Linked DNA regions of Diceros bicornis minor. The protein of the gene in region 4 binds, or shares a complex with, the protein of the main gene of each other region. Links are inferred from orthologs where the notes say so. Each region holds a gene or a part of one and is shown on either strand. Other genes may lie near its edges.

Region 1 (6,885 bases), on a different chromosome or scaffold from region 4:
TCCGAGAACTACAGGGTCCTGAGAGCGCGTAGGAAGGGGGCGGAGGATAACCTCGCTCAGGAAGCACATCTGGGTCTGTTGGGAAGGGATGTTCGCGTGGAGAGTGAGTGGGAGCTGGTCTGGCAAAGTGGAGCAGAGGGAAGAGTGTTCCCAGGCAGGGAAGCAACATGGAGCAGGGCTGGGGCGAGAGGGGTTTGAGAAAAGGCCCGAGGGTTCAGCAAGGGCCAGGGAGCTTGGGGCACTGGGGTTTGAGCCATGGAAGGGGCTGAGCAGGGGAGGAGCGTGAGGGGACTTGTGTTTTCGTTCATTCATTCCATACATTTTTTTTTTGTGAGGAAGATCAGCCCTGAGCTAACATCTGTGCTAATCCTCCTCTTTTTGCTGAGGAAGACCGGCTCTGAGCTAACATCTATTGCCAATCCTTCTCCTTTTTTCCCCCAAAGCCCCAGTAGATAGTTGTATGTCATAGTTGCACATCCTTCTAGTTGCTGTATGTGGGACGCGGCCTCAGCATGGCTGGAGAAGCGGTGCGTGGGTGCGCGTCCAGGATCCAAACCCAGGCCACCAGTAGCGGAGCGCGTGCACTTAACCGCTAAGCCACCGGGCCAGCCCCATTCCATACATTTTTATTGACCTCCTCCTCTATGCCAGGCAATATTCTGGGCCCAGGAAATACAGCAGGAAACAAAAGCAGCTAAGTCCCTGCCTGTATGGGGCTTATTCTAGTTGGGGAGAAAAACAAGTCAACATAAAGCAGCATAAAGCATGAGATAGTGCCAGGAGCTATTTTAGGGGGGTTGGGAAGGCCTCTTTGAGGAGGTGACTTTGGAGTGGACACCTGAATGAGGGTGGGAGCCACCCAGGAAAATGTCTGAGAAAAGCACATTCTGGGCAGAGCAAACAGCAAGTGCAAATGTCCTGCGGTGAGAGTGAATTTTGTGGGTTTGAGGTACACAGATGAGGTGGGTGGCTAGAGTGGAGTGAGCGAGGGGTGAGAGGTGGTAGATAAGACTAGAGAGGTAACAAGGCACACCTCATGGGCCACTATAAGGACTCTGGCTTATGCCAGAGGAGTGAGGTGGGAGCCATGGAAGGGCTCCCAAAGGGCAGAGGAGGGACAGGATCTGACATTCAGAAGGTGGAAAGATCCCTGTGGCTTTGTGTGTGGAGTAGAGGCAGGAAGACAAAACCAGGTAAGGGAGGGTGGTGGCTTGGACCAAGGTAGAGGCAGCCCCGACTCCCACCCTTCCCCTTCCCCCACTCCTCACCTGATTCTTGGCTCTGCTCAACTCCAAGTCAAGGGCTTGGGCCAGCTCCAGGAGCAGGGCGCAAGGCACAGCTGAATCTGTGGCCCCCACGAAGGGGGCTGACCCAGATGGGAAGAGCTTGGAGTCGTAATGGCAGGCAAGGGTGAGGTGACGGGCAGCCCCTGGGTCAAGTGTGGCCACCACGTTGCCAAAGTCCAGTGGCCCCAGGGGCGTCGAGGACGTGAAGGGGTCCAGCTCCACATGCCAGCCTGCCGTCAGGGCCCGAAGCGTGGCCTCCAGGAACTAGTGGCGAGAGAGGCGGGAGGGTGGGCGGGGACTGGGGAGCAGGGCCATGTGACCTGAGCCGTGCAGAGCAGCCAGGTTGACTCACAAGTCCCACTGTGGTTTAAATCATTCCCTTGACACACTTCTGCTGAGTCTCTACTGAGTGCCAGGGGTGGGGTGATCCCGCCCCTTGATGCCAACAAGATTAATCACAGCTCCCTCTTCAATAGCACTAGGAACCCTGTGGGGTAGGAACTGTCAATGGCTCCATTTTGCAGATAAGGAAACAGGCACAGAGAGGTTAAGAAACGAGTCCAAGGTCACACTCCAAGTGGCTGAGGTGAGATTTGAACTCAGGCAGTGTTCACATGACTATCCATGCTTTCTGGGAAGCAATATAGAGATGTTACAGCACCAGCTCTGGAACCAACCTGTTTGGGTTGAAACCCTAAGTATACCATTTATTAGCTGTGGGCTTTGGACAAGATGCCTAACTGCTCTGGGCCTCAGTTTCCCCATCTGCATAACGAAGATCACATTGGTACCCACCTCACAGGGCTGCTGCTTGTGCCTAGCACATAGCACGTTTTCGGTGGGGGCAGTACAGCCTGGTGATTACCAGGTGGGACTCTAGAGCCAGATTAGCTCCAATCAGAGCCCCAGCTCTGCCTCTTAGCTGCTTTGGGATCTTAGGCAGAATGCCTATCTCCTGTTCCCTGGCGGGCTGCGGATCAGGGGTTGGAGGCGGGGCCCTTTACCTTTCTGACTTGGAGATTGCCCGGGCTGCCCGGGGTCCGTACAACCAGCAGGGGGCGCAGATAAGCGTTCCAGAGACGCTGTGGGTCCAGTCGCCCCACCACCTTCCGCAGCCGGGCTTCGGGGAGGCTTCCGATCAACGGGCCCTTGGGAGTGGGGTGGGATGGGGCAGAGAAGAGCAGAGTGTGATAACAACCCCCATTCCGACCCTACCCCGGGCGCCGCCACCCCTAAGAAGCCCCAATTCCTCTCGCTAATCGCGGTCTCTAGCATCGGAGGTTTCTAGGATAAATTCTAGACTCAGGAAAAGTCCCTCCAAGCCCATCCGGTCCAGCCCACCCCAACCCTGATGGGGAAATCGAGGTCCAGCGAGAAGAAGGGACTCCGCCAAATAGCTGACTTTAGGATTAGAACCCAGAACTCTGTCTTATTACTCCAGACCCTTCCTCTTAAAGCGGAGCCACTGTTACAGAACAAGCCCGAAGCTTCATTCCATTGGCAAGGGGCGTGCGATCTAATGACCGAGACAGTGGCACCTGCGGTTAGGGCCATACGAGAAAGCCACGTCAACCTGAGACCTTAGGGAAGGGGAGCCGGGGAATGAGGGCCCCCGCGGTGCCCGCCCCCCGCCCGGCCTCACCCGCAGCTCCCGGGCCGGCGGCGGCTCCTCCGTCCGGCGGTGCCAGCCGCTCCAGATGGTGTAGAACGCCCAGGCCACGGCCAGCGCCAGCAGCAGCAGGGGCAACAGCGGTACCCGCGGTAGCAGGCGGCGCTTGGGCGGTGAGGGTGGCTCCAAGAGGCCGCGTTCTCCGGGCCGTGGCCGGGGCCGCCCGCGGCCCCCGGAACGCATGGCAGCTTCGCCCTGAAACCGGTCCGGGACCGCGGATAGAATTTAGGCCAAGCCAAGTCCCACCCCATGAAATCAGCGGACCAAAGAACAAGAGCGGCTGAACCATCCGACCCTCCTGCCAGCACTGAAGCCAATGGGGACTCCCGCTCTGAGGACACGCCTCCCCGTCTCCCGCGGGCTTTGGGGTTGGTTCCCCCGGAGGGCTGCACAACCCAAAAGGGAGCGCGGAAGGGGTGGACTCCGCCTCAGCGGAGGAGGAGAAGCCAATGAGAAGCGTTTGATCACGTTAAACAGGCGCCCTCCGGGGCGCAGGTCCACGCCCCTCCGGATGTAGGCAGAGGATTGGTTACGCGGAGTCGGAAAGATCAATAGACACGTAAATAACCAGCCCCCGAGGGGAAAGGGGCGGTGTCCATCCCTGAAGCGAGGAGCGGATTGGCTTCGCGGAGGCCGCGCCCCCGGAGGCAGGGCCGGCGGGTATTTGGAAACGGCGTGTCCTTTCCCTCCTTCAACCTGTGCCGTTCTACGACAAAATGGTTTGGGTCGAACCCGCTTTCTTTTCCTCTCCGTGGTCGTGAACATCTGCCCCATACGGTCCCGAATGGCCTCGAACCACTACGCAGCACTCGTCTCCCGCCGCTGGGCCGGGCGGGCGGGGATCGCTATGGCAACAGGCCACGCCCCCAGTCGCGGGTTGGGTGTGCGCAGGCGCCCACGGAAGTGGGCTGCCGGAAGCGGAAGTCCCGCCTTTCGCTCTCTCTTTAGAGGCAGAAGCAACGCGGAGAAGACGGGAGTGCGTTGAGAACGCAGTCACTGCCACCATGTGAGGCCGGGCCGGGCTTAGGTGGCGGGAGTGGGGTTGAGGGTGTAAACTGGGCCGCTTACCGGTGGAAGGGGGTGGGCAGAGCGGGGGGCGGGGGCAGAGAGTTTAGGGTTAAAGTGGCGTACTTTTCTCCTGATGAGTTTGCGCACGGGCGTGGGGCCTTTGGCGGATCCTGACCTCGGGAGAGGGAACGGCTTTATCAGATAACGGGCGAGGGCTTTCCCAAATGCTTAGTCTTGTTGAAATGAATGTTAAGGGGCAGTGATTTTACGAATAAAGACCCTGGGAGAGGGCAGTGCGGACTTGTAGGAATAAAGGTTTGAGGTAAGGGACTTAACCGGATCTTATGAGCTTTACGACCTAATTCGCGACTTTTACGGATAACGAGTCCCCGGAATGATTTGACTTATTTATTCATTTAGTAATTATTTATTGACTGCGCATGTATCAGGCACTGCTTTAGATACATCAGTGAGTTGTCTCCCTCCCAAAGAAAAAGTCCGCCGCTGCAGCTTATGGGGTGGGAAGAAGCATAAGTGTAATGATAATAAACAGGTAAAGTATATGGTGTGTTAGGTGACCAGGGCTATGGATGAAGAAATAATGGAGCAGCAGAAAAACAATGGGGAATGCCGGTTTTGAGAGACTGAAGGACACAATGAGGAGGCATCACTTGAGCGAAGACCTGAAGAAAGTGAGAGAGCGAACCACAAAGATACCTGGGCGGGGGGTTGCTAGACTGAGAGAAAAGCAAATGCAGAGGCCCAGGATGAAAGTTTGCCTGATATCTTCAAGGACCGCGGAGGAGGCCACTGTGGCTGGAACAGCCAGAAGGGGGCAGATGTAGGGCATTGTAAAAACGTTGGATTTTACTTTTTACACCAAGAAGGGAGCCATGGGAGGGTTTTGAAGAGTGAGATGATATGACTTAAGTCTGGAGAACAGACTGTTGGGGAGCATGGGTGGAGGCAGGGAGACCAGTAAGACCCTAGGAGAGAGATGACGGAGCTTTAGGCCCTGGTAGGAAATGGTCAGATTCTGGATATATTTTATTTTGTCGTTTTCTGGATATATTTGAAAGGCCCATGACAGGACTTGCTGACAGATTGAATGTAGGATGTGAGAGAAAGAAAGAGAAGAGTCAGGTCGGTCCTGTGGCGTAGTGGTTAAGTTCCATGTGCTCTGCTTTGGCGGCCCAGCTTCATGGGTTCAGATCCTGGGCACAGACCTACACCACTTGTCAGCCATGCTGTGGCAGCAACCCACATACAAAATAGAGGAAGATTGGCACAGATGTTAGCTCAGGGCTAATCTTGCTCAGCAAAAAAAAAAGAGAGAGAAGAGTCAAGTTGGCCTCAGAGTTTTTGCTTAAAGAGCTAGAAGGGTGGAGGTGCCAGTGACGGAGATGAGGAAGGCTATGGATAGAGCAGATCGGGGTGGTTGGGAGATCTGGAGCCCAACGTAAGAGGTGCAGGGTTAGAAATGTCGGTTAGGCAGCCTAATGGTGCTGCCAAGCGAGAAGACTGAGGTGGGGGGGGGGTTGGGGGGGTTGGGGCAAGGTCGGGAGGCCTGAGCACAGGCCATGACCACCCACGCTCCAGCCAGGCCCTCTCACTCACGGGTTCCGTGCTTGCCCACTCAGGAGCCTCCTCAACAAGCCCAAGAGTGAGATGACCCCGGAGGAGCTGCAGAAGCGGGAGGAGGAGGAGTTTAACACGGGTCCCCTCTCCGTGCTCACGCAGTCCGTCAAGAACAACACCCAAGTGCTCATTAACTGTCGCAACAACAAGAAGCTCCTGGGCCGTGTGAAGGCCTTCGACAGGTGAGCGCCTGGGTCTTGGGAGGTGTTCCGTCCAGGCCTGGAGAAGCACTGCCAGCTGCCCTATAGGGAGCTGGAATAAAGCATTTCTCAGAAGCCCGGGGCATAGTATCTCAAAACCCCGAAGTGTGACTGTCCCCCATTGCCCTTCCAGCTGTGAAGTGCAGTGGTTATGGCCACGTACTTGGCAGCCAGTCCTCCCGGGGTCACGCCCCAACTCTGCCTCTTAGCAGCCATGTGACCTTTGGCAAGTGACTTTCATCCATACAGTGGCAGTGATCATGGTGGTTGCAAAGATTCAGTGACTTAATATAGGTGAAGTTTAGTGGGTCATTAGAAGTACAGCATCTGGCGCACAGGATGCTCCTGATCCTTTTTTGCAGTTGTGACATAGCGTGTCCGCCCGTGCCGGGTACTGTGTGAGGCTCTGGAGATATAGCAGTGACTAAAACAAACCTGGGTCCTATACTCAGGGAGCTTATGCTGTAGGTAAGAAAGCCAGCAGCAAACACATAAATAATGTGTCATAAAGACAGATGATGACAAGTTGTATGAAGAAGAGTAAAGGTAAGAGGGTGGAGTTCTGAGAAGGGGGTGCTGTCTTAGATGTAATCAGAGAGGTCTGGTCGGAAGAGGCAACAGTGAACAAGTTGAATAAAATGAAGGAACAAGCGGGGCCAGCCCCGTGGCGTAGTGGTTAAGTCCCGTGCTCTCCGCTTCAGTGGCCCAGGTTTGCAGGTTCAGGTCCCAGGCGCGGACCTACACCACTCGTCAAGCCATGCTGTGGCAGCAGCCCACATAGGAAATAGAGGAAGGTTGGCACAGGTGTTGGGTCACGGCTAATCTTCCTCAAGCAAAAAAAAAAAAAACAAGATTGGCACAGATGTTAGCTCAAAGCGAATCTTCCTCACCAAAAGAAAAATAAAGGAGCAAGCTAGGGTCTGAGTGTTTCAGGCAGAGGGAACAGCAAGTGATTTTTCCTCTCTGGGCCTCAGTTTCCCTATCTGCAAAACGTGCATCATCATAATACCCCTCATTGTACAGTTGTGCAGATTAAACGTTATTATGTATGAGAAATACTTGGCTCAGTACCTAACACATGGTA
Region 2 (8,016 bases), on a different chromosome or scaffold from region 4:
AAGCAAGTGTTGAGAACCATGGTTCTAAGTATTCACTGGGGGTAAGGGAAGAGAAGAAAGGACTTGGACATAAAACAATTAGTGTTAGGGCTATGAGCCTAAACTTATACTTTCTTTTTGGTTCAGGCTGCTATTTTCACACTTTACTCTTTGCAAAGAATGGAGAAGGGGGGAAGAGACAAAAGGAACTGGTTCTGCTAGCTGCTCTAATAATTTTACTATTTTCAAAAAATGTGGTATAGCTCAACTTCTTTAGGTCCAATGTTTTGGTCAATATCCTATTCCACAGAGTTCTGCACATTTCCTGCCCTGAGAATACAGAATTGCTTAAGTGAAATATTCATTTACGGTATTATCTTAGTTATCTCATGTAATTTTAATTTTTCGAGGGATTCAACTATCTTAACAATTAGACTAAAGAGTAAGCAAAAAAGGCCTTCTGGAATCACACATTCCTTGTTTAAAAGTTTTGCATCGAGCATTTCTTATTGGAGAAAGCCTTTTTTCGGACTATTGTTGAGTTACATGTAGCTCTAGCATTCTAGCTAGAAGGCTATGTACAGTAACAGAAACGGAGTAACAACTAACAATTAGATAAGAAACTATAAAAATGCAGTACAAGCAGTCTGGAGCCATGTAACACAGGAGCCCTTACTTAACTCACATGGCCAGTACGAGACAGATCTGGAATTTTAACTCAACTCTCTCCAAAGACTGAGCCAACACTCATGGAGCTAAGTCATGAAAAGAGCTCTGGGCATGTCTGGCACACAGTAAGCATTCGTTAAATAAAACTGTCTTAGAAGCTCTTTGTACGTTCAATTGATAAACATTTAGGTGCCTATTGTGTGCCATGCACCCTTCTAAATGATGATGATACAGTGGAGAAGAAGACAAAGAAGATCCCTGTCCATGGAGCATTCTCATCTCAGAGAGGTCTTCCTCAACCATCCTATCTAAATAGTCACCCAGTCACTCCAAATCACATCACTACTTTACAATCCTCTATATAGCTTTATTAATAATCTGATATTCTTTGATTATTTGTCTGTCTCCACACTCTAGAATATAAGCTCCATGACTATGGACCTTGCCCATCCTGTTCCCCAATACCTGGCATAGAATAGCCCTTCATGAATAATTGTTAAATGAATTAAAAGAAGAACAGTTTCAAAGGCAGTTTGAAGAGTGGTTAAGGTCTTAAGCAAATTAGTTACCCTCTCTCAGCTATAGTTTCCCTTTTTAAAAAATTGGGATAATACACATACATAGTTCACAGGGTTGTTTTTAGGACTGAAATAGTAAGCCCAGTACACTATTAGCTCCTACTATTAAAAAGGGTTACATAATCAGTATACTAATTATAAAGATAGGAAGCATGCATTGTATTTAAGAGAGCTAAAAATGCTAAAACTGATTCAAATATTTATTTATTTATTTTTTTTTTAAAGATTTTATTTTATTTTATTTTTTCCCCCCAAAGCCCCAGTGGATAGTTGTGTGTCGTAGCTGCACATCCTTCTAGTTGCTGTATGTGGGACTCGGCCTCAGGATGAACGGAGAAGCGGTGCCTCGATGCGCACCCGGGATCCGAACCCGGGCCACCAGCATCGCAGCGCGCGCACTTAACCACCAAGCCACAGGGCCAGCCCTGGTTCAAATATTTAAAAGTTTGTGATTGAATGCAGTTATCTGAAACTTTCAGAAATCAATCTAATAAGCATTACTGTGCTTAGTTCTTAATGTGGTAATGACTATAACTAGGTAACAACATTTAGAAAGAGCATGGGAAAATACCGTATCATAGCAACATCTCTCTCCTACTTAAAACTTAACCAATGTTTTTTCACGTTACTTCAACATAAATACTGCCTTTTTTTTTAAATTTACTTATTTGTTCCCCCAAAGCCCCAGTAGATATAGTTGTATGTCATAGCTGCACATCTTTCCAGTGGCTGTTTGTGGGACGCGGCCTCAGCATGGCCGGAGAAGCGGTGCGTCGGTGCGCACCCGGGATCCGAACCCGGGTCGCCACCACCGGAGCGTGCGCACTTAACCGCTAAGCCACGGGGCCAGCCCTAAATACTGCGTTTTAATAACAGCATTCTTTCATAAATAAATGGTTACCTACAATGGGGAAAAAAACCCAAACATGTATGTACTAAAATGTTTACCAGAATTCACTAATTTAGAATTGATATTTTACACTTCATTTAGCTGATTAGACCCTGAATAGTATCTTGGGTGCACTTAAACGCCGCCCTCCAGTGGTTCTCAAGAGCTTAGGCAATGAGACTTACATATATTAAAAAACCCTAGATCATTTGTTTTAGAGCGGACCTTAGAGAGTAAAGGATCTCTTCGAGAATTTACGCAAGGAACCCATCTCGGAAAAACGTACACACTAATTTTTGCATTGTTAGCTTGTTGACAGCTCCAGAAAGTCCTTCTGTGGGTCTCAGAATAAGAACCCCAGAAGAAGCTTATCTAACGGTTTTCAATGCGCTGGTGATACCTTATAACAGCGGAAGTAGTAGCTAAGCAAGCAATAGTTAAAGCCGGAATTTAAAATTCACTTTTACGTGGCTAAGGCTCTCAACCCAAAAGAACGATTCACAGGATCCTGGTTCATACGCTGGGCTCAAGACATCACACTTACTTCAAAAGCAGAATAATCCGGGGCTGTCAGGTAGCTCAGGTAGTTCTTAGTAGGTCGGTATCTGCGAGTTTCCTCCTCTACCAGCGCCGCAGCCTAAAAAGGAGAACAGGGACCAGGGTACAGCCAGCAAATTGTAAGGCGCCTCTTTCAGCACGAAGGGTCAGCGAGCGCTGAGTCAGCAACACAGACACCCCCGAACTCACCGCTTCCCGCACACCGGGCGCTTCATAACCTTGGTCAAAATACGGCAGGGCATCCACCACAACTTCTCCGGCCACCAGACCAGTACCCGCCATTCTTGAGCTCGCCTGGGCTTTCTGAGTCGGCGCAAACTCAGGCCCACCGAAATACGCCTGCGCCCATCACCGACGTAAAGCACGTCGCCTGGGCAGTGGCTTTGGCGCATGCTCAGTTGCTAATGCCGAAGGCACGCTCGCCCAGGCACTAGGAATTGCCCGGCCATTTTGTTTTGGTCGGACGTGACGTCACGACATGGTTTCCTAGAGTCAGCGGAACATCTCAATTTCCTGTCTCCGCACGCTCCACTTTTTTGCTTCCGACTGGCAGCAGTTTGGAGAGTAGTTAAGACTTTTGGTTTCCTCCAGAACGCTGATACCTGGGAGGGGAATCCTTTAAAATTTCGGAGGGAACTGGCTGCAGGATTTGGCGGGAAGAGAGTGTTTTCTTACCTCGTCTTACTCCCCTAACCTTCCGCCTTTTCCCCTTAAACTTCTCTTACTTTGTGCCAGGCTTCTCTCTCCTGGATTTCCTTGGTGTACTTCCACTATTCTTCGTTCTCGGCGCCCAGAGAACCATCGCATTGGATAAGTGTAGTTCTTTCACAGACTCGAGAAGTAGGCGCCAGTCTCCAGTTAAAATTTCGAAGCTCTGGAGTCTGCGTAACAAAAGGAACCAGATCTACCCCCAGGGCGAGATTGATAACAGCCCACCAACCCCAACTTTTCAAAATCCTGTCATTTTATCTTCAAGACGCATATCAAATCCAATCATTTTGCCTTTAAGACTTCCAGCAATAGAATAGCGCTCCGCATTGCCTCCCAACCACCCATGCTGCTCCCGGTGCACTGTCTCTAGTCGGTGGCTCCCAGTATATATATATATATACTATACATAGTCGGACTATATATATACCCTGCCCGGTGTGCAGTCCTAGACCCAGGCTTTGTCTGTCAGGAGCCTGGAAATGTTGGCCACGGTTATTAAGTCTGGTTAATCTAGACTCGATTTGGGTTATCTTTTAACCTACCATTAGATAAATGTGCTAGCTGTAGATTTAAGGGAAGTAAAAGATGTCTACATTTTATGCAGTTTTATTTAAAATTCTCCAAGAGATCCATGGAATTTTTGTGTTTATTCATTAAAAGATCTGTAAACAACATTTTATGCAAATCTTGAGCAATTCTTTTTACAAACATGTCCAGAATTCATAACACTTCACAAAAACAAAATAAGACAGGCCTAAGAAAAGGAAGCAGCTTCAGATTGCACGGATAAAATAAGACCCCCATCCCTGAAGCAAAGGTCCCCTCACATAGGGTTGGCCAGGATCTACCATAGTAATACCTCCTACCCCCATTTTATAAACACTCAATTCCCAATTACTAATTGTCCCCTCAGGGTTGGAGTGTCAGAAGAGACCAAATGGGGAGATGTCTGGTAAGAGCCCCACTGGGGTAAGCTGCTTAATAAACATTTTTTAAAAGACATTGGCTCAGTTCTATTTTCTGGACCCACATCTATAGTAACTATAATATACAGCACCAGTCTTAAATGATGTCTGCTTTAGATTCATTCATGCACACCTGAACGGGTTGTAATGACAACACTGTACAAGTCAATAAACTGATCATAACGCAACTTGTAAGGTTTTGTTAAGTTTGAATAAATATTTTTTATGCCAGTTAAAACCATCAGCAGGAATTGAAGAAAACAAACTGACACTTGCTATAGAAGAAAACAAACTGACACTTGCTATAGTATTTATCAATGAAAATTGTACCATCACTGACAAATTCCCCTTTCCAATCACTACTACTTCTTTAGATAGATATTAAGGGTCGGCGTGATTATGTCATGTGTGCCCAGAAAATATCCATATTCTGAATCCAATTTAATTAGAGCAAAAAGTCCACCGAATCTAGGGGAACCAAAAAAGAGTCTTATCTAGGCACCCACAGTTTGAAGTCCCTAAGAGTTGCCTCTGGTACACTTCGGCTTAAAAGAAAACTTTTTCAATAGCTACATAATCCCACAGAGCTCACATTTCCATCTGCAGGACTAACCAACTTTCTCTGTGTTCATAAACTAGTAGTCCTGGCTTCAGTTCTGGCTCTGCTGTATAACTTTGGGCAAGTTATTTAACCTCTTTGAATTCCAGTTTCTTCATTAGTAAAATGGAGATGCAAATATCTTATAAAGTTGATCTAAAGAATCAATAAGGTGACACACATACATATACCATAGTGCATGGCACATGGCGGACACACACACACACAAAAGGTAGTTCTCATGCCCTTGAAAGGACATATTCTTATTAGCTATAATTCCACAAAGTTTAATGTTGACACGTAAGGGACAAGCTACTCAAGTGCCACACAATGTGGAGGAGCTGCAAGATGTCTACTTGTATAAGATACTCAGTAATAGTGCTAATAAATAGGGCTTCTGCATAAGTGAAATTCCCCTAGACAGAACATTAGACAAAAAAAAAAAAAAAGGATATATATGATGAGTATATTCCTTAGCTCAGCTCAAACAGCCCATAGGTTTAAAGCTGCCATGGTGTTTCAGTGATGAGAATTATGTGTGTAGGGCTAGTATTCTCCACTTCTAGCATGCCTCTCTAGGACCTTAAACTCAGCATTTCTCTCATTGTGCTCATCTTTGAGCTATTTTTTTAAAAAATGCAACACTAAGTCTTTCGCTTGTAAAATTCAAGTGCTTTCATAGTCTAAGCACAAAACACAAAGAATGAACCCAAGAATCAAATACTTAAAGAAAATCGGAGGCAGAGTAGAGACAGCATTGGTTCCAGATTACTCCCAACAATTCTCCAGTGATTACTACGGCAGCAACAGCAGAATCCTCCTCCAAGAACCTGGCCCACTTGGTAACCTTTTCAACTTTCAAGGATTTTGTAGAATATTTCACGGCATCCTGACTTTCTGAAAATATTTTCTTTGGCATTATCTGTTCTATTTAGGATGGAGATAGTCAATCAAAGATTTCATTTCTTCTGCAGAAATTTCATTTTACTTCCTAAAAGGAGAAAAAAGTAGAGTGAACTCTCATTAGTTTGTTTTTATTTATTGTACATTATTTGAGGCAAGAGATTAACAACCTCGTCATTCAGAACAGCCCAGGAATAAGCTGCCATCTCAAGCTATCAGCTGTGTTTAACCACCAAAAAAAACTCTGCAAGTGTCTAATTGTAGAGGTGGAAGAGAACTCAGACATCATCTAATCCAGTGGTTTTCAACCCTAACTGTAGGTAAAATCACTTGGCCTGCTCCCCAGAGATTTCTTGGACCCAGGGGGAGCAGGGTGTGGGGGGAATGATTTTTATTTAAGCTCCCCAGAGATTATAATATTGTAGTCAGAGCTGAGTACCACTGATCTTATCTAACCCCGTGGTATAAAGATGAAATAACAGCCGAAGTATAATATGTCCATGGTCTCTCAGCTAGTTAAGGATAGGGCCTAATTTTAATTAGGGAGATATATTTCAAAGACCAATATAAATATCATAGAATATAGGTTCTTCATGTTTTGGGCTACCACACTACTGTTCTCCTATATCATACTAGATAATTAAAAGTTAACTAAAATTGAAAAATCATAAAGTGTTTCTTTATGAAGTGTAAAATTACAGACTTGCAGGAAATCCTTTTGCCTCAGACTTCCTTTATACCAGGTGTTTTTGTTTTGTTTTGTTTTTTGCCGAGGAAGATTTGCTCTGAGCTAACATTTGCTGCCAATCTTCCTCTTTTTGTATGTGAGCCACTGCATGGCCACTGACAGACGAGTGGTGTAGGTCTGTGCCCGGGAACTGAACCTGGGCCGCCGGAGCAGAGCACACTGAACTTAACCACTAGGCCACCAGGGCTGGCCCTAAACCAGGTGTGGAGTCCATGGATGGGCTTCAGGGGGGGTCCATGAACACCCTAAATTTATATGCAAAATTTGTTTGAATGCTCCAAGTATATTTTCCTGGGAAAAAGGTCCGCAGTTTTATAAGATTCTCTCAGGGATGTGACCTAGAAAAGAATAATACTCATGATATGCAAATTCTTATATCATGAGGGAGGTTTATCTGTGGAAAACAGCCCCATGGACAACTCTGATGGATAATCCCAACCTCTGAGAAAGAGACTTCTTTTTTCCAAAAGACACTTTGGAACTAGTGTCATGGTTTCTGGTCAACCTACTTGAGGTTACATTGTTGATCTGATTATAAAGCTTTTGTGATGAGGCATGCTTACTGCAAAAGCTTTTTCAGCCACATTTATCTAACAGGAAAACTCAGCAACTCACCAAGACTCCGCAAAATTCTATTCACCCCACTGGGCTCAGATTCAGGAATTGTTTCCAAATACTGGAGGGCCCGGACCTCAAACAAACCTACAAGGAAAATTCATGTTGGTGAAATTGTCCAAAACTCAAGACTGAAAATCAACTAAATGAAACTCTGGTCTCACTACCAATGTACTTCCATAGCTAAAATAATATTACAAAATAAATATTTCCCATAATAAACAACTCAGATTTTGAGCCCTTGTAGCTTTATGCTATTTTTTATTTATATTATTTTCAAGCCTTTCAAGTGCTAAATACAAAGGGAGAACTTTATGATGAGACTGACCTTTCACTCCACTTTTCCGAAGCTCTCGGTCTTGGATGAATCCTGCAAACATCTGAGTTTCCATGAAGAGATCCAGGAAGTGGCGTACACTTCGGGAGGTGTGGGATTTACGGAATGGCTCCCTTTGGAATACACGCTCCCCACGCTCAGTGACAGTCATGCTCAAAGAATAATGTCCTACCAGCTCCACAAAAAATCTGACAAATGCTTCGGACACCAGAGAGTTGAGCGTCACGTCTGCTGCAAAATGAAAGAAAAAGAAAAGAAAAGAAAAAAATCCCCTAAGTTTTGTGTTTATGGGAACACTGGCTCTGGTTATGAAAGTGATGCCTAGGAAATCATGGCTTAAAGGACTGAGAATAAATATAGGAATCCTCATTCTTGGTTTTTTGCATTCTCCATGACCTGCAAAAAGCAAATGGCTTATAGCCTTACCTTCATTTTCTTCCCACACGTACTCTTATTACACCTTTCA
Region 3 (7,724 bases), on a different chromosome or scaffold from region 4:
AGAGTGGAAATTTATATGACTGCTCTATAGGTGCTCCTATACCTACCTTGCTTTTTTTGAGGTCAAAGCTTTATTTTCGTTCAGCTTTCTTCCACCACTCTCTATAACAAAATATACACGTATTTTAGTGGGTCATTTCCACACATTTCACACATAACATAATCATATAGCATTTAACAATTAGTTAATAAGTTCATTTTTCAACCTCCTACCAACAGACCAACCTATACGAAAATTTTCAAAATTCCTCAGTTAATAGCCAGGTTCTTAAGACACTACTTGAAAAGAAAACAACTGTTTATTGGGGAAACAATAAAAAATTGGATAAAATGCAATCATTTTACTTCTTAGACTCAAAGTAGGACTTTAGGAGTGGGTCTACATTTAATGCACTAATGTAAAATCTAGATGCCATTACTTTGGTGCCATAGACCTTGAAAAAGTGTTTCTTTTCCTTCCCTTTGAAAACATCTTCATTGTACTGAATGATTATGAAGGTGAAAATATTTAAATGATTTCTTCAAGAATACAAAAATCAGGTGAGAAGAGGGGGAATTAAATACCAACTCCAATTAAGTTGAATCAAATCAATTACTTTGATATACTCAAGGCTTGAAAATCATTTAATTATTTTGCTATGTCCTATTTACCAAATTAGGAACCCCAATATGTAACTGAGAGAACTAAATAGAAGATATTAAATTGTTGCGGGATCCAGTATTCTTAATGTTTAATACATGAAATATTTTCTACATATAAAAACATTTCATTTTCCAAATGATGTAAAAACTAAAACATTATTCACAAGAAGTATTCAACTCAATTTCTATGTTCTAAAAGGAAAAAATACCTGTGGTATTCCTTGCACCATCTTTCCATGTATCTGGAGTGATAACAGTACCCAGTTTCTTTTCACCTGTTACAAGACAGTAAAAGTAAGGGGAATTAGTATTTACTATCTAATAAATACATTACATTGTGCCTAAAGTTCACAATTGTATCAGCAATCATATTATAGTAGAAGCCTGTTAATGCTGGGGTCAGGGCCAATGAACCAAGACTTAAGATATTAACTGTGGGCAATGGATGACGGACTCTCAGTAAAATCTGTAGGATAATAGTATGGTTTATAATAGGCTTCTTATGTACATGTATACTTTATATAAATCTGACAAATCTATTCATTTCATAAATATTTACTAAGCACCTATGATCTATAAATCATTGCACAAACTACAGAGAAAAATAAAATGATAAATGAGATGAAGCTCTAGATTTCAAGGAGCTTATAGTACACTGATTTCTCTAACAGTAGTCCTTAAGAGGTACATGAACAAGATGAAACTGCACACAAACCTTTTGTATGTCCATTTCTTTTACAGACTCTGGTAAGAGTCTATAGCTTTCATCAGCTTCTCTAGCTTTCATCAGATTCTCAAAGGGCTCAGAGAACCAAAAAAAAGTTAAGAACCATTCAACTAAAATACAAGCTAGAAAATAAAAAGTATAATAATTGAGAGCTAAAATAAATTGAGAGCTAAAGTACTAGGAGAAATTCCACGGACGAAGAAATAACCTTGTCTAGGGAAATCCAGGAAAACTTTGTGCGGAAGGCAACTGAGAGGGTTTGTGGCAATGTGACTGTGAAGAAAGAGGAGGAAAGAGGATGAAGGCAAACTAGATAAAGGACACAGCCTGAGGAAAGGCAGGGAAAGCTCAGAATACACAAGGGCATGCAAAATAGTTTGGTTTGGCCAAAGTGTGAAGAGGGTAATAGTTAGTGACAATTAAGTTGGAAAGATAAGCTGAGGCCTTATGGTGGAGGGTCATCTTGAATGCCAGGCTCCAAATACAGAAACCCCAAATTATTCTCTGCACACTGAGAATTTATTAAAGTAATCTGACCATGGTCATCCTTTTACCTAATATAAGAACTGTTATGCAAACTCATGGATGTCTGTGCTCAAAGTTTTATCTACTAGGGAGATATAAACAAAATGGATCATGTTAGACAGTAACTGGATCATGTTAATGAGACAGCAATGAGGACAAGAGTTCTTGAAACCTTGTGACAGAAGAGCCAGATATGTCTAGTGTGAGGAAAAAGAGACTTGGGGATATGACAGCTGTTTTTAACATATAAACGGTTTGTGAGGTAAAAAAAATCATCAGATATTTTCTAGAAATCTCAAGGGTTGGCATTAGAATCACTGGACAGCAACTATAGGGAGGAAAGACTTTTCTAAAAGTCAGTGAAGTATACACAGACTCATTTCAAGGTGGTGAGACTCTCCTGGCCCCAGCCTCAATACTGTAGATATTCATGCAGAGGACAATTAAGCCAATGTATGGAATACTGACTTACGATTGTTAGATAAAATACAGATGCTCAGTTAACTTTAAATTTCAGATAAAAAAAATGAATACTTTTTTCTGTAAAGAATGTCCTAAAAGTCCTCGGGGACAAAGCACTTGCAGTACTAAGGAGCAGCAGAGCCAAGTCTCAAATATTGTACGGGACACATTTATACTAAAGATTATTCGTTGTTTACTTGAAACCCAAATTTAACTGGGCGTCTGGTATTTTTTTGCTAAATCTGTAGATGCTGTAGAAGTCAATTTTAAGACCCATTCCCACCTGAGGGTCTGTGAGGCAAGAGAGCCAGTCAGAAGCTGTTTGGGATGAGATCTGGGGTTGCTGGAAAGCAACGGAAATAGACCAAGAGGTGCAAACTGAGACCAACCTATATGGTCGTTGGGGAGGGGCAAGAATGGTCAAACGGCAGAGTAGGAAGACAGGCTAGAATCAGAGTGCTGTGGCCGCTGGCAAAACAAAGAAAGGGCCAAGTTCCCGGGGAACTCCAGTTAGGTTCTTCCAGCCTCCTTCTCCCGCAGAAGCCACCCCTTAACTCACATTTTTCGCACACCATCCTTCCGCGACGGTTCCCTTAGCCGCAGAACGAGCAGCGGGTTGAAAACATCAACAGCACTGCCAGGGAAGAATTCCCCTTCCGGGTTACGGCAACCCACTTCCGGATCCCCCGCCCTCCGCCCCGCCTATCCTACGCCTGGAAAGCCGCGGGAGGAATAAACGCGGGCGGAAGGCGGGGCTGCTTCCTTTGCCCGCCCCTCCACTTCTGCGATTGGCTGTGCGGCCTTGGGTCTCCCCGCCCCACAGGCCTGCGCCTGCGCGAAGGTCAGGGCGGCGAGTCGCACCTGATGGTGGGAGGTAGTAGGTCTCGCTTCTCTTCCGCAGGTGGGCGAGTTAGGTAAGCCCAGTCTAAGGCTCGCGGCTCGCGAGCTTCCCGGGGGTGAAAGCAGCCCCCGCCAACTGTCCTAGTGGCCCCGAGCCTCTGCCCCGTTCCGCCCGCGCCCCCGGGCGCTCGAGCGCCACTCTTCCGGCGTGCCCCAGGGGCTGCCCTGATGGACCGGCCGTCTTTGGGATTTGACCTTCTGTGTCTGTCCCTCCGTTTCTCCTGGGCTCCATGCCCGTTCTCTTTGATTATGCCTCTCAGCTCGTCCCCTGCTGTCCACACTCCTGCCGGCTGAGGCTTGGGTAGAGTCCCGAGCTACACAGTTTGAGGTGGGGCTGCAGATAAAGGTCCCGCGATTCCCGCGAAGGCTCCCCTGGGAGCAGCTCAGAGGGCCTCTTCTCCCGCCACAATGCCTGTGGACCCGGGCCAGGTCAGAACGCGGACGCCGGGACTGAGGCCGCCTCCGGGGCGTCCCCGTGGGCTCGCCAGGGCCTAACACAGTGCTGGCTTCTCAGGAAGGGCAAACACTTGACCCCCTCTCCGTTCGTTCGTTCATTCATTCGGCAAGCATTTGAGTTTGGGTACTGCTCACTGTATTAGATCCAAATCCTCTGATGTCAATTGGGATTCGGAGCGTGGCCCAGAAAAACGTCCTAAGGGGTGTCTGTTGAGACAATGTCTTCCGGATCCCCCTTCCCACCCCTCAATCAGCCAAGGATAGGACCTGTGAGAAACTTTTCCTTTCTCCCTTGCTATTCATTCTCTTCTCGACCCCTAGTGTGTATCTTTTGTCAGAGAGACTAGGTTTTGAAATGGATTTGGCACTCGGGAGCTTGGGACCTTGACTTGTCTCCTAACCTGTCTTAGCCTGTTTCCTTATCAGTAAAATATTTGCCTTTGAAGATTGTAGTGTGAATTAAATGAGATCTGTTAGAATAAGGCCTGGACTTGCCTTTTTGCGCTAGTGGGCGCCCCCTCTGTGTGTGTGTATAAAATATATGTTTTTTTCCCTAGCGTGTTCACCAGAATGTGAACTATTACTTTAAATTAATAAGGTCCTTAACATTATTCAACACTATGTATAAGCTGTCTGTTAGGTAATGAATAATTAAATATATATAGAAAATACGTGTTTTATGTATAGAGAGAAAGTACATTTTTTTCTCTTTTTCCATTCTTGCTCCTTTTTTTTTTTGGTGAGGAGGATTAGCCCTGGGCTAACATCTGCGCCCATCTTCCTCCAGCAGTGCATAAGTCCGGGCCGTGAACCTTGGGCCACTGAAGCGGAGTTCTGGAACTTAGCCACTGTGCCACCAGGCCGGCCCCCATTCTTGCTCTACATTTGATTGGAGTATAGCACCTGTAACAGACACTGTCATTTTGGTATTTCTGGAGCACTGGGGTCCCTTAGTTTAGCATAATGTTCTTTGAACTCTCTTGATTACACCGGCCGTCATTTGAGTATTTGAGTTTGCAGTTGGTGTCACTTGGCATTTGCTAGAAGATGTGAACTCCTGTCATGTGAGACAAAGGTCTACAATGGTGAAAAAAACAAACATGCCAACAATTTAGCCAAAGTGTATTCATGGGATTTTTAGAATGCATAGGTTATATTTCCAGCTGGGGGAGGTCATTAATCCATGCAGTTAGTTTTCACCTCTGTTATTTTGGCAAAAAAAAAAAAAAAAAAAGAAATTGAATTGCTTAATTGGTCCTAGCACATGACTCTGTTGCAGAAATCAGTCGCAAATATTTAAGAACTTAGTAAATTTGTCTTTTTTAGGCTCTGAGAGCTATTTGTACCATATTAGTCTACATGTGCATTTACGCATATGCATCTTATTGTGAAAGCAATACCTTGTTGCCCGTAGAAAATTGACTTTGGTTCAAGGCTTATTTTTAGGCGTTAGAGCATTTAGGATGATGGAAAAAGTTATTGCATATGCTTTTTTCTTAATTTGTTTTTCATTAGATAGCCACTCAAGAAAACACCATGAAAGATACTGATATCAAGAGACTACTGTATACCCATCTTTTATGCATATTTTCAATTATCCTAAGCATCTTCATTCCATCATTGTTCTTGGAGAACTTCTCAATATTGGAAACACACTTGACATGGTTGTGCATCTGTTCTGTTTGTGTAACTGCTGTCAATCTAGTATTATATTTAGTGGTGAAACCAAATGCGTCCTCTAGAAGAAGTTCATTATCATACAAGGTAAGGCTTATTTCTTGATAACTGATTTTTAGATGGAGGTAGCGTTTCTTTTAATGGAAGAATAAAGTATTAGTCAAGTACTCATTGGGTTATTTACAGTGAGTAAAGAGAACCTGATTTCTTTGTCAAATCAGTAGCCTATTTGTTGGAATGCTGCTCACAATGTTTAATAGATCCTTGCCGTGCATTAGTTGTGAAATTAGGATGTCTTTTTTTTTTTGTGTGAGGGAGATCAGCCCTGAGCTAACATCCATGCCAATCCTCCTCCTTTTTGCTGAGGAAGACTGGCCCTGGGCTAACATCTGTGCCCATCTTCCTCCACTGTATGTGGGACACCACCACAGCATGGCCTGACAAGCGGTGCGTTGGTGCGCGCCCGGGATCCGAACCCAGGCCTCCAGCAGCGGAGCGTGCGCACCTAACTGCTACGCCACGTGGCTGGCCCCAAAATTAGGATGTCTTAAGTGGATATTATAGCTTTGTGAACCCATATAATCAAGTTTTATGTGATCATTGGAGATAAATACATATAGCAGTCATAACTTTAAACCTTATTTTATAAGACATTTCAGTTTATTTTCATTTATTTTTTGCATTTCTGAAAGACACTTAATGAGGTTTTCAGAAATTAGAAAATAAGACTCTATGATAGCTCTTGTTTCAATATGGCCTTCCTTAACTAAACAGTAAAGTTTTCAGATAATAGAATCTGTTTTCTGAAATATTCACCACAGTGTAACACTTGACTATTACTTTAAATTAATAAAGTCCTCACTTAACATTATTCAATACTATGTAAGCCCTCTATGAGGTAATTTTAAATACGTTTACTGCCCTATGATTAAAAAAGCTTATTGCATGTTTTATAATTAGATCTTCTTAATCTCCAAGTCAAGTAGGTCCCACACACTAATTTACAAACATGTAAGTCTTTTCATGTGGATCATCTAGTAACATGAACATGATTTGGAGAATTATTTAGTATTGTGCTTTTTTTTGGTGTAGTTTTCCTAGGGATTTTGTTTTAAAATGAAAAAAATTATTATAGTCATTATTTTCTGCAAATATTTCATGTGTGGTCACGTGTATGTGATCCCAGCACTCTGTTATTGGTAAATATTTTATAAATACTGATTAACAACATAGCTCAATACATACCATGGAAACAAATGCATTTTGACTCTAGTGTTGGTTGGGTGGGTGGAATATGGGGGTGATGCTTGCTTTGTAAGGCTGTGTTGAGGGCTGTGTACCTGATGGGACATGTGATCTGACTGCAGGGTACCCAAATCCAAAGAACATTCGACTGTATCACACATTATGGGAATAAGTTGTGTTTGTAGGTAAAATGGAGGCATTTGCTGTTCTTTAGGCATTCTCTTGAGTCTTTAAATTATTCATTTCTTTTTTAGGTAACCAGATTTTTGAAATGCTGTATCTATTTTCTTATGTCTTGTTTCTCCTTTCATATAATTTTTGTTCTCTATGGAGCACCACTAATAGAGTAAGTCTGAAATTTTTATCTGAAGGCAATTTTTATCTGTGGCAATTATGTTTTAAAACACTCATTTACTAGATAATGTGCTAATTCTATTGGTGATTAGACGAAAACCATGGTGTGTTTAATTAATGGATCAAGTAAGGATGCTGACACATTGCCCTTCCTTAGCAGTGTTATTCTTTTAAAAAACAGTGGAATAACTTAATTCATTAAATTCTCCTATTACCTAGCCTTATGTCACCCACTTGCATGTGAGGAGGAGGTAGATGAGAAACTCTACTATACCAATAAATGTGTGGCCCTTAGAACCTCTAAGGAACTTTTATGTAATGATATGTGTAAGTTAATTATAACTAATATATCAGTTCTTAGTAAATGTGATTCTGAAGTGCTTAAAAAGAGTTTGTTTTCTTAAGAAAAGTCAATAGGTTCCTATATTTAATTACTTAATAAGGTAATGTTTATAGTTTAAAAGTAAAATTTAAACACTTTTTCAAAACTGATTTTAAATTAGTGAAAACTAAATTCATGAATATTTCTTAAATAATGTTCATTATAGTTTGGGAAACTTCAGTTTAGCAGTGATGAGTGATCATGGTGAAATGAGTGATGTGATATACACACACACATACATATATAATTATGTATATAGTTTTATATATATATACATAGTTATGTATATACACACTAAACTAACAGGTTATTCTTTTCTACAGAGGGGAGGACAAGACCTTTGTAATGAGAAATG
Region 4 (6,221 bases):
TTTTGTGTGTGTGTGTGATGATTTATTAAGCCATTTTCCCAGTAGGCTTCTCATGTATCCCCACTATACTTTATACATTGTTATAGAATGTGGTGGACCCTGTGGTGCTAGCTACAAGTCCCCCAACCGAATTCTCCCACTCAACACCCCCCTCCCCCACAACACACACGCACCTTGGCTGGGGTGTATTTGAAGTAGTATAGGCTCCCAGTAGAGATAACGCATGCAAGTACTTTTGTAAACTATTGATACGGAAATGTGATATAACAAATAGGTTCAGTTTTTGCTTTCATCACAGCTTTGGTTATTTCAGCGAATTCTAGCTCTTTTCTTGAACTTCTCCCATCCCCAGAATTTAAGCCAAAGGATTCTGAAAAGGATCTGTTACACACAGGCAGCATTTATACAAGGTAAAAATTCAGATTATACCTACCTCGATGCTTTTACAAGGTATCCATCCAGGACCCTACTTCACCACCCGCCTTTTCCTCTGACACTTTCCCTGGAAAGGAAGGACACGAATTAACATTTCCAAAACAACAAAATATTTATTTTGATTTTTGAGAATAATGGGAAAACTAAGTAATGGGGATTGGACCCTCATCGGGGTCTTCTGGGAAATCGGAAGCACCACCCTCTTCTGCAGCTCGATGCTTCTCCAGTTTAGCGATCAATTCTTTCGCTGGATTGAAGACGCCATTGGTTTGCTGGTCACAGACATAGCAGCGCGGGGTGGTGCGGAAATGCTGCAGTGCACAGCTCTCGCAGAAATAATGCCTGCACTTGGTGACAACTGGGTTTTGGAAGGTCTGGCGACAGATGAAACACTTGAATGGTATTTCCTCATCATCGCTTCCCACTTCATAGTTTTCGTCCTCATAGACACCATAGCGACCCTCATCAAGCTCACGTTCGATCTGCCACCCATGCTTGTAATCTGAACGGTCATGGAGGAATTTGCAGCTGTCTCCGAAGCCGCAAAAGCCAGTCTCCTTGTAGTCCTTACAGATGTCGGGCTGGTAATCCCAGCGCACGGTGGCACGTAGATGCTCGGGAGCTCGGATGGGGCCCTTCCTCACCATCCCGGAGGAAGCATTGCCCATAGACGTATCCTTGGGCTTCATATATTTCTGATAATTATTGATTCCCCGATAGATCTTGTCATCTTCCTTGCCCCTCAGCTCCTCCTGGATCTTCTGGCTGCGCTCAAAGATGGCTTGTGCGTCACGCTCCTTCTCTGTGTCTAGCTCGTAGACAGCAGTCGCCCCCAAATCCTCTGGGCCCACGGGTTTCGCCGAGCGGGTGGACTTGTAGACCACGCCGAGACTCTCAGGCTCCTTCTCCTCCTCTTCCTCGCTACTGAAGTCGCCGTAAACCGCCTTCTGTTTACCACTGCCACGGGTTTTCTGTATCATCGGATTGTGGGTCACCCTCTTCTTTTCCGGGCGAACCACAGTGCTGCCTTCTTCACCGCTGCTGCTGCTGTCTTCGGGCTCTCGGTCGCGGACTGGGCGCTTTCTGCGGCCTGCAGCCCCTTTCCGCCCAGGCTTTTTGAAGAGGAAGGTGCACACCTGGTCTGTCACCTTTCCTGGAGAAAGCTGCTCCGCCATTTTAGAGTCCCGAGCTCCGAAACGGCTGCTCGCGCGGGGCCTCTTCGCGTCACTGCACGGCGTGCGCTCCGCCGCGACTCGGAGCAAAACAGACTGCAGAAGGAAGACTGCGGGAGCGCGGGAGCGCGAGCACACGCCACTCTTGAACCCTGCCGGACTCCGTCGCTTCCTCCAGAGGCGTACGTGACCCCGCCCCGCTCGCGGGCTGCCGCGGAGTTTACCCGGAAGGGACCGAAGCCGGGTCACCTTTAAGGGGCCTGGGAGGAAGTGTCTGGTCCCGGTAACCGTGTTGCGATGTGGTTCGAAATTCTTCCCGGGATGGCCGTCATGGCCGTGTGCTTGTTCATCCCCGGAATGGCCACGGCGCGCCTCAACAGGTTCACTAACGGGGGCAAGGTAAGGCAGCTTCTGCGGCCCGACGGCTGACTCCGCGGATTGGCGTTACAAACTGGGCGGTGGGGTAGGGAGGCCGGTAGAACCCGGAGCCTCTCTCCGAGATGGGGAGTCCCAAGGTCGGCCCTCTCCTTTCTTCGTGTTGCCTAAAAGCAGAGGCTTGCGGAATGAAGCCCAACGGAAACCACATTCTACTCTAGCAAGAAGTTGCTGGGTGAAGAGTGGGCAAGAGGGCAGAGTAGAGGCAGAGAGAGGCATCAATTAGTTTTGTCCCCGCTTCCTCCGACCTCCAATCTCCTTTCTTGCTGGATTTTGATTTTAATTTCTCGCATCCACGTCTTGGTAGCTTCGTTTTTGACGTGTTCCCTACCCTTAATTAGGTTTTTACCTTGACGTTTTTTATCTCCCACTTTTTCTTGCAAGCCTTTAGGAATTTACCGCAAGATCCTGTTATTCACATCAGGATTGTAATTTTCCTCTCTTCCTAGTCCTTCCCATCATCTCTGGAATACAGAGTGTAAATGTGTTTGCTTTCTGCTTTTGTGATTGTCCTTCACGTGTGATCTACCACTGTTGTTTCTTCTCATTAGGGTCCCAAAAGGAAACAAGTAGTCATATCTTTTAAAAAAAGGAGGAAAGAAAAAAAATGATGCTGGTTAAAATAGGAAAGTGTAAGAACTCATGGTTACCATCTTAATTCTAAAGTTTAGTCGTCCGATTTTATTTAGGATTATTGTCTTCTATTGTTAATTTGGTTTTTATTTCAGTGATGATTCCATTTTTCTATAATGTCACTTATTAAAGTTCTAGTATCCCTCTATTGGGTCACTTATGTTTATAAACTGCAATAATAATTTCTTTTAATTGTAGGAAAAAAGGGTTGCCTATTATCCATATCAGTGGAGTTTGATGGAAAGAGATAGGCGCATCTCTGGAGTTAATCATTACTATAAGTCAAAGGTAAGATGGTTCTGATGCTAGCCATCTGTCACGGAGGTGGGTTCTGGTAATATTTTGCCAAAAGTCTTACAGTGCTAATTTAGTTTGCATTTTCTTGTCTATTAGTGAGGTTGAGTAGCTTTTTACATATTTAATAATCGTTTGTATTTCTTATTCTGTGGATTGTTTGCCTATAATCTTTGCTTGTTCTGTTGTCTTTTTCTTTTTGATTTATAGCAGTTCTTTATGTATTATGAATATTAATCTTTTATTTTATATGTGGCAAATATTTTTCCCAGTCTGCTGTTTGTCTTTTTCACTTCACGATGTCTTTCATCAGATAGTAGTTTTTAATTTTGATGTTCAGTTTATCATAGTTTATCCTTCTGGATTTGGGGTTTTTTGTCTTGCTTACAAATGACTTTGCTACCCAAGATTGTAAAAATATATTCTTACAATTTTTCTAAATACTGTTACAGTTTCTTTTTTCTTTTCTTTTCTCTTTTTACATTTAGTGCTTTGACCCTTCTACAGGTCATTTTGGGACATAATGTGAAGCCAGGATTTGACTTTTCTTTTTTCTAAGAGATAGCCAGTTGTCACAATTATCCATTTATAGAATAGTCCATTTTTTTATTTGAAATACCACTCTAGTAAACTAAATTTCCATATACACCTGGGCCTGTTTCATGAATGCACTCTTCTATACTCCATTGGTTTGCCAATTCCTGCACCAATACCATATGTAAAGAAGCACTATAATTTTGTATGTGCTTGAATCATATGAAATTGCTGTTTTTTGTAGGTTAAAAATGGCCAAGTAGTAGCATTTTCATATGGTTCAACCTAATAGTATGTTCTTATATCTTGTAGGAGTTCGTCTTCATTATTCTTTTAAAATATTTTAGTTTTTTATATTTTCTTCTTGCTCATTTATTCTTCAGTGAACTTGGGTAAATATTAATTCCATTTTATAGATGAAAAAATAGAGAGTCAGAACGATTAAATAACACTATAAGGACTCAACCTAGGTGATCTGCCCCTCAGTATATATTTGAGAATCTAATCTAATCTACGTGATGATATCTACAAATCTAGAGCAGTATTTCTCAAGTATGGTCCAAGAATAACCATCAGAATCACCTGGCATATGAGATAAAATACAGATTCCTAGGCCCCTGGCCAGACCAAATGAATTAGGATTTCTACAAGGTGGCCCCTAGGACTATGCAATTTTAATTTGTCTCAAGGTGATTCTTCCTACAATAGTAAACAAAATATCTGGACTGTGTTATTTTAACACCTGGAAGAAATGTCATCATTTCTTTTACTTAATCTTTTACTTTATAGTTTCTGAAGTATTTGGTTGTGAACTGAGTAAGACAGAGTGGGTCTTCTGAATAAATAGTGTCATGCTTACAGGGCAAGAGTTCTGGAGTTGGAGGAGTCCCTAAACTTGAATTCTGGCTCTGCTACTGCCTTACTGACTTAAGCAAGCAACTTTAAACCTCTCTCAGCCTCCATTTCTTCATCTGTAAAACAGTGGAATGAGGCTAATAGTATCTTCCTCATGTTGACTGTTATTTTATAAAACGGTTTTATCTTACTGTCCTCTGACTCTCTGAGGGTACTTTATAGAAGGATGCAGATGGTAACTATGTAGTTGCTTGCCTTTAGTTTTGATATGGGAGGGTCTTTTTATGTAAAGTGATAATGTTTGCTGCTGTCAGAAAAAGAAAACTAGAAATCATTATAGGTTATTCTTTTTACTTTAGTGATTATAAAATTCAGTCCAATTTATTGTTAGAGTTAGAGCAATGTGGGATGTGGAAGTACTTTCTTAAATGACAGAGAATGCCATTTGGTGACACTGGAAATAAGAGTATGTGTACATTTTTGATGGGAAAATAATTTTCACGTTTTCCTTTTTAAACTGTTTTTCAGGGTTTGGAGAACATTGATTAAGGAAGCATTTTCCTGATTGATGAAAAATAACTCAGTTATACTCATCTACCCCTGCTAGAAGATTATGTAATGTATTATGTAGTACCTAATAAAAATAAAATGAAAAAGTAAAATCGAAGGTTTTCTTTACTTTTTTTAATAGTACTACACAAGATCAAGCAGTCTACCCAATGTAGCTTTATCACTTTAAAAAAACTGGAAAGCGACTGAGGCTTGTAAAATTACAGACATAATGTATACCAAGTGGGGCCGGCCCCGTGGCTTAGCGCTTAAGTGCCTGCGCTCCACTACTGACAGCCCGGCTTTGGATCTGGAGTATGCACCGCCGCACCGCTTCTCCAGCCGTGCTGAGGCTGTGTCCCACATACAGCAACTAGAAGGATGTGCAACTATGACATGCAACTATCTACTGGGGCTTTGGGGAAAAAAAAAAAAAAAAGGAGGATTGGCAATAGATGTTAGCTCAGAGCCGGTCTTCCTCAGCAAAAAGAGGAGGATTAGCATGGATGTTAGCTCAGGGCTGATATTCCTCACAAAACAAAAAAAAATGTACACCAAGCACCTGCCACAGTGCCCAACATCTAATGTGTCATAAATGGCAGTTGCTACTATTGTAATAGATACTAATATACTAAAAAACATTGTTTCTTCAGAGATTGTCAGGAGAATACAGAAAGAGTAGTACTTTTTTTCTAGTTCCTTTTCTGGGTGAATCCTATAGTGTTTAAAATTCCAGTTAGGGGCCGGCCCCGTGGCTTAGCGGTTAAGTTTGCGCGCTCCGCTGCTGGTGGCCCGGGTTCGGAGGGCGCGCACCGACGCACCGCTTCTCCGGCCATGCTGAGGCCACGTCCCACATACAGCAACTAGAAGGATGTGCAACTATGATATACAACTATTTACTGGGGCTTTGGGGGAAAAAAAATAAAAAATAAAATTCCAGTTAGGATGCTTTAAAACGTTGCACCTTCAACTTTCATTCATTCTGTATCTAACACACAGTATTTGCTTAAGTGTTGATTTTTGTTTTAGTGTAGAGCAGCAACAATCATGTTTAATAAAATGAGTGTACTGACCACTTGAAATAAAGAGTTGCATGTTCAACATTAAAGGTAACCAAATAATATGAAGATCTGAAAAGGTATAACTGCTGTAAAGATGGTGATACTCCATGTGTATAGATCCACACCCCAGATGGCCACAGGACCTGTAGGTGAGAAATCTAAATTGTTTTTCATCTCCATCTTTTATCTAGTGTAACATTTGATCTGCTTATGACCTTAAACACACCTGCACTGTGTGGTTTCCGTTGACTGC

The links.
Region 1: RNF113A (region 4) and SNRPD2 share a complex: the UniProt entries of both Homo sapiens proteins name them as parts of the minor spliceosome. The link is inferred for Diceros bicornis minor from reciprocal best matches to the Homo sapiens genes RNF113A and SNRPD2.
Region 2: RNF113A (region 4) and BCAS2 share a complex: the UniProt entries of both Homo sapiens proteins name them as parts of the pre-catalytic and catalytic spliceosome complex. The link is inferred for Diceros bicornis minor from reciprocal best matches to the Homo sapiens genes RNF113A and BCAS2.
Region 3: RNF113A (region 4) and CRIPT share a complex: the UniProt entries of both Homo sapiens proteins name them as parts of the minor spliceosome. The link is inferred for Diceros bicornis minor from reciprocal best matches to the Homo sapiens genes RNF113A and CRIPT.

Annotation. Positions count from the first base shown.
Region 1 is NC_080773.1:19,907,267-19,914,151, reverse strand, and holds the start of SNRPD2 (small nuclear ribonucleoprotein Sm D2), read left to right. Parts: upstream 1-3,866; 5' UTR 3,867-3,959; coding exon 3,960-3,961; intron 3,962-5,603; coding exon 5,604-5,783; intron 5,784-6,885. Other genes in the region: QPCTL (glutaminyl-peptide cyclotransferase-like protein), read right to left, coding at 1,269-1,550, 2,291-2,434, 2,929-3,138. UniProt on the Homo sapiens protein: Plays a role in pre-mRNA splicing as a core component of the spliceosomal U1, U2, U4 and U5 small nuclear ribonucleoproteins (snRNPs), the building blocks of the spliceosome.
Region 2 is NC_080743.1:47,233,656-47,241,671, forward strand, and holds the start of BCAS2 (pre-mRNA-splicing factor SPF27), read right to left. Parts: upstream 3,006-8,016; 5' UTR 2,956-3,005; coding exon 2,863-2,955; intron 2,753-2,862; coding exon 2,660-2,752; intron 1-2,659. Other genes in the region: DENND2C (DENN domain-containing protein 2C), read right to left, coding at 5,907-5,938, 7,214-7,300, 7,542-7,781. UniProt on the Homo sapiens protein: Required for pre-mRNA splicing as component of the activated spliceosome. Component of the PRP19-CDC5L complex that forms an integral part of the spliceosome and is required for activating pre-mRNA splicing.
Region 3 is NC_080751.1:38,647,411-38,655,134, forward strand, and holds the start of CRIPT (cysteine-rich PDZ-binding protein), read right to left. Parts: upstream 3,018-7,724; 5' UTR 2,931-3,017; coding exon 2,915-2,930; intron 917-2,914; coding exon 851-916; intron 102-850; coding exon 47-101; intron 1-46. Other genes in the region: PIGF (phosphatidylinositol-glycan biosynthesis class F protein), read left to right, coding at 3,664-3,684, 5,227-5,475, 6,888-6,979. UniProt on the Homo sapiens protein: As a component of the minor spliceosome, involved in the splicing of U12-type introns in pre-mRNAs. Involved in the cytoskeletal anchoring of DLG4 in excitatory synapses.
Region 4 is NC_080781.1:110,360,433-110,366,653, forward strand, and holds RNF113A (E3 ubiquitin-protein ligase RNF113A), read right to left. Parts: upstream 1,771-6,221; 5' UTR 1,611-1,770; coding exon 579-1,610; 3' UTR 523-578; downstream 1-522. Other genes in the region: NDUFA1 (NADH dehydrogenase [ubiquinone] 1 alpha subcomplex subunit 1), read left to right, coding at 1,905-2,006, 2,874-2,963, 4,887-4,907. UniProt on the Homo sapiens protein: Required for pre-mRNA splicing as component of the spliceosome. As a component of the minor spliceosome, involved in the splicing of U12-type introns in pre-mRNAs. E3 ubiquitin-protein ligase that catalyzes the transfer of ubiquitin onto target proteins.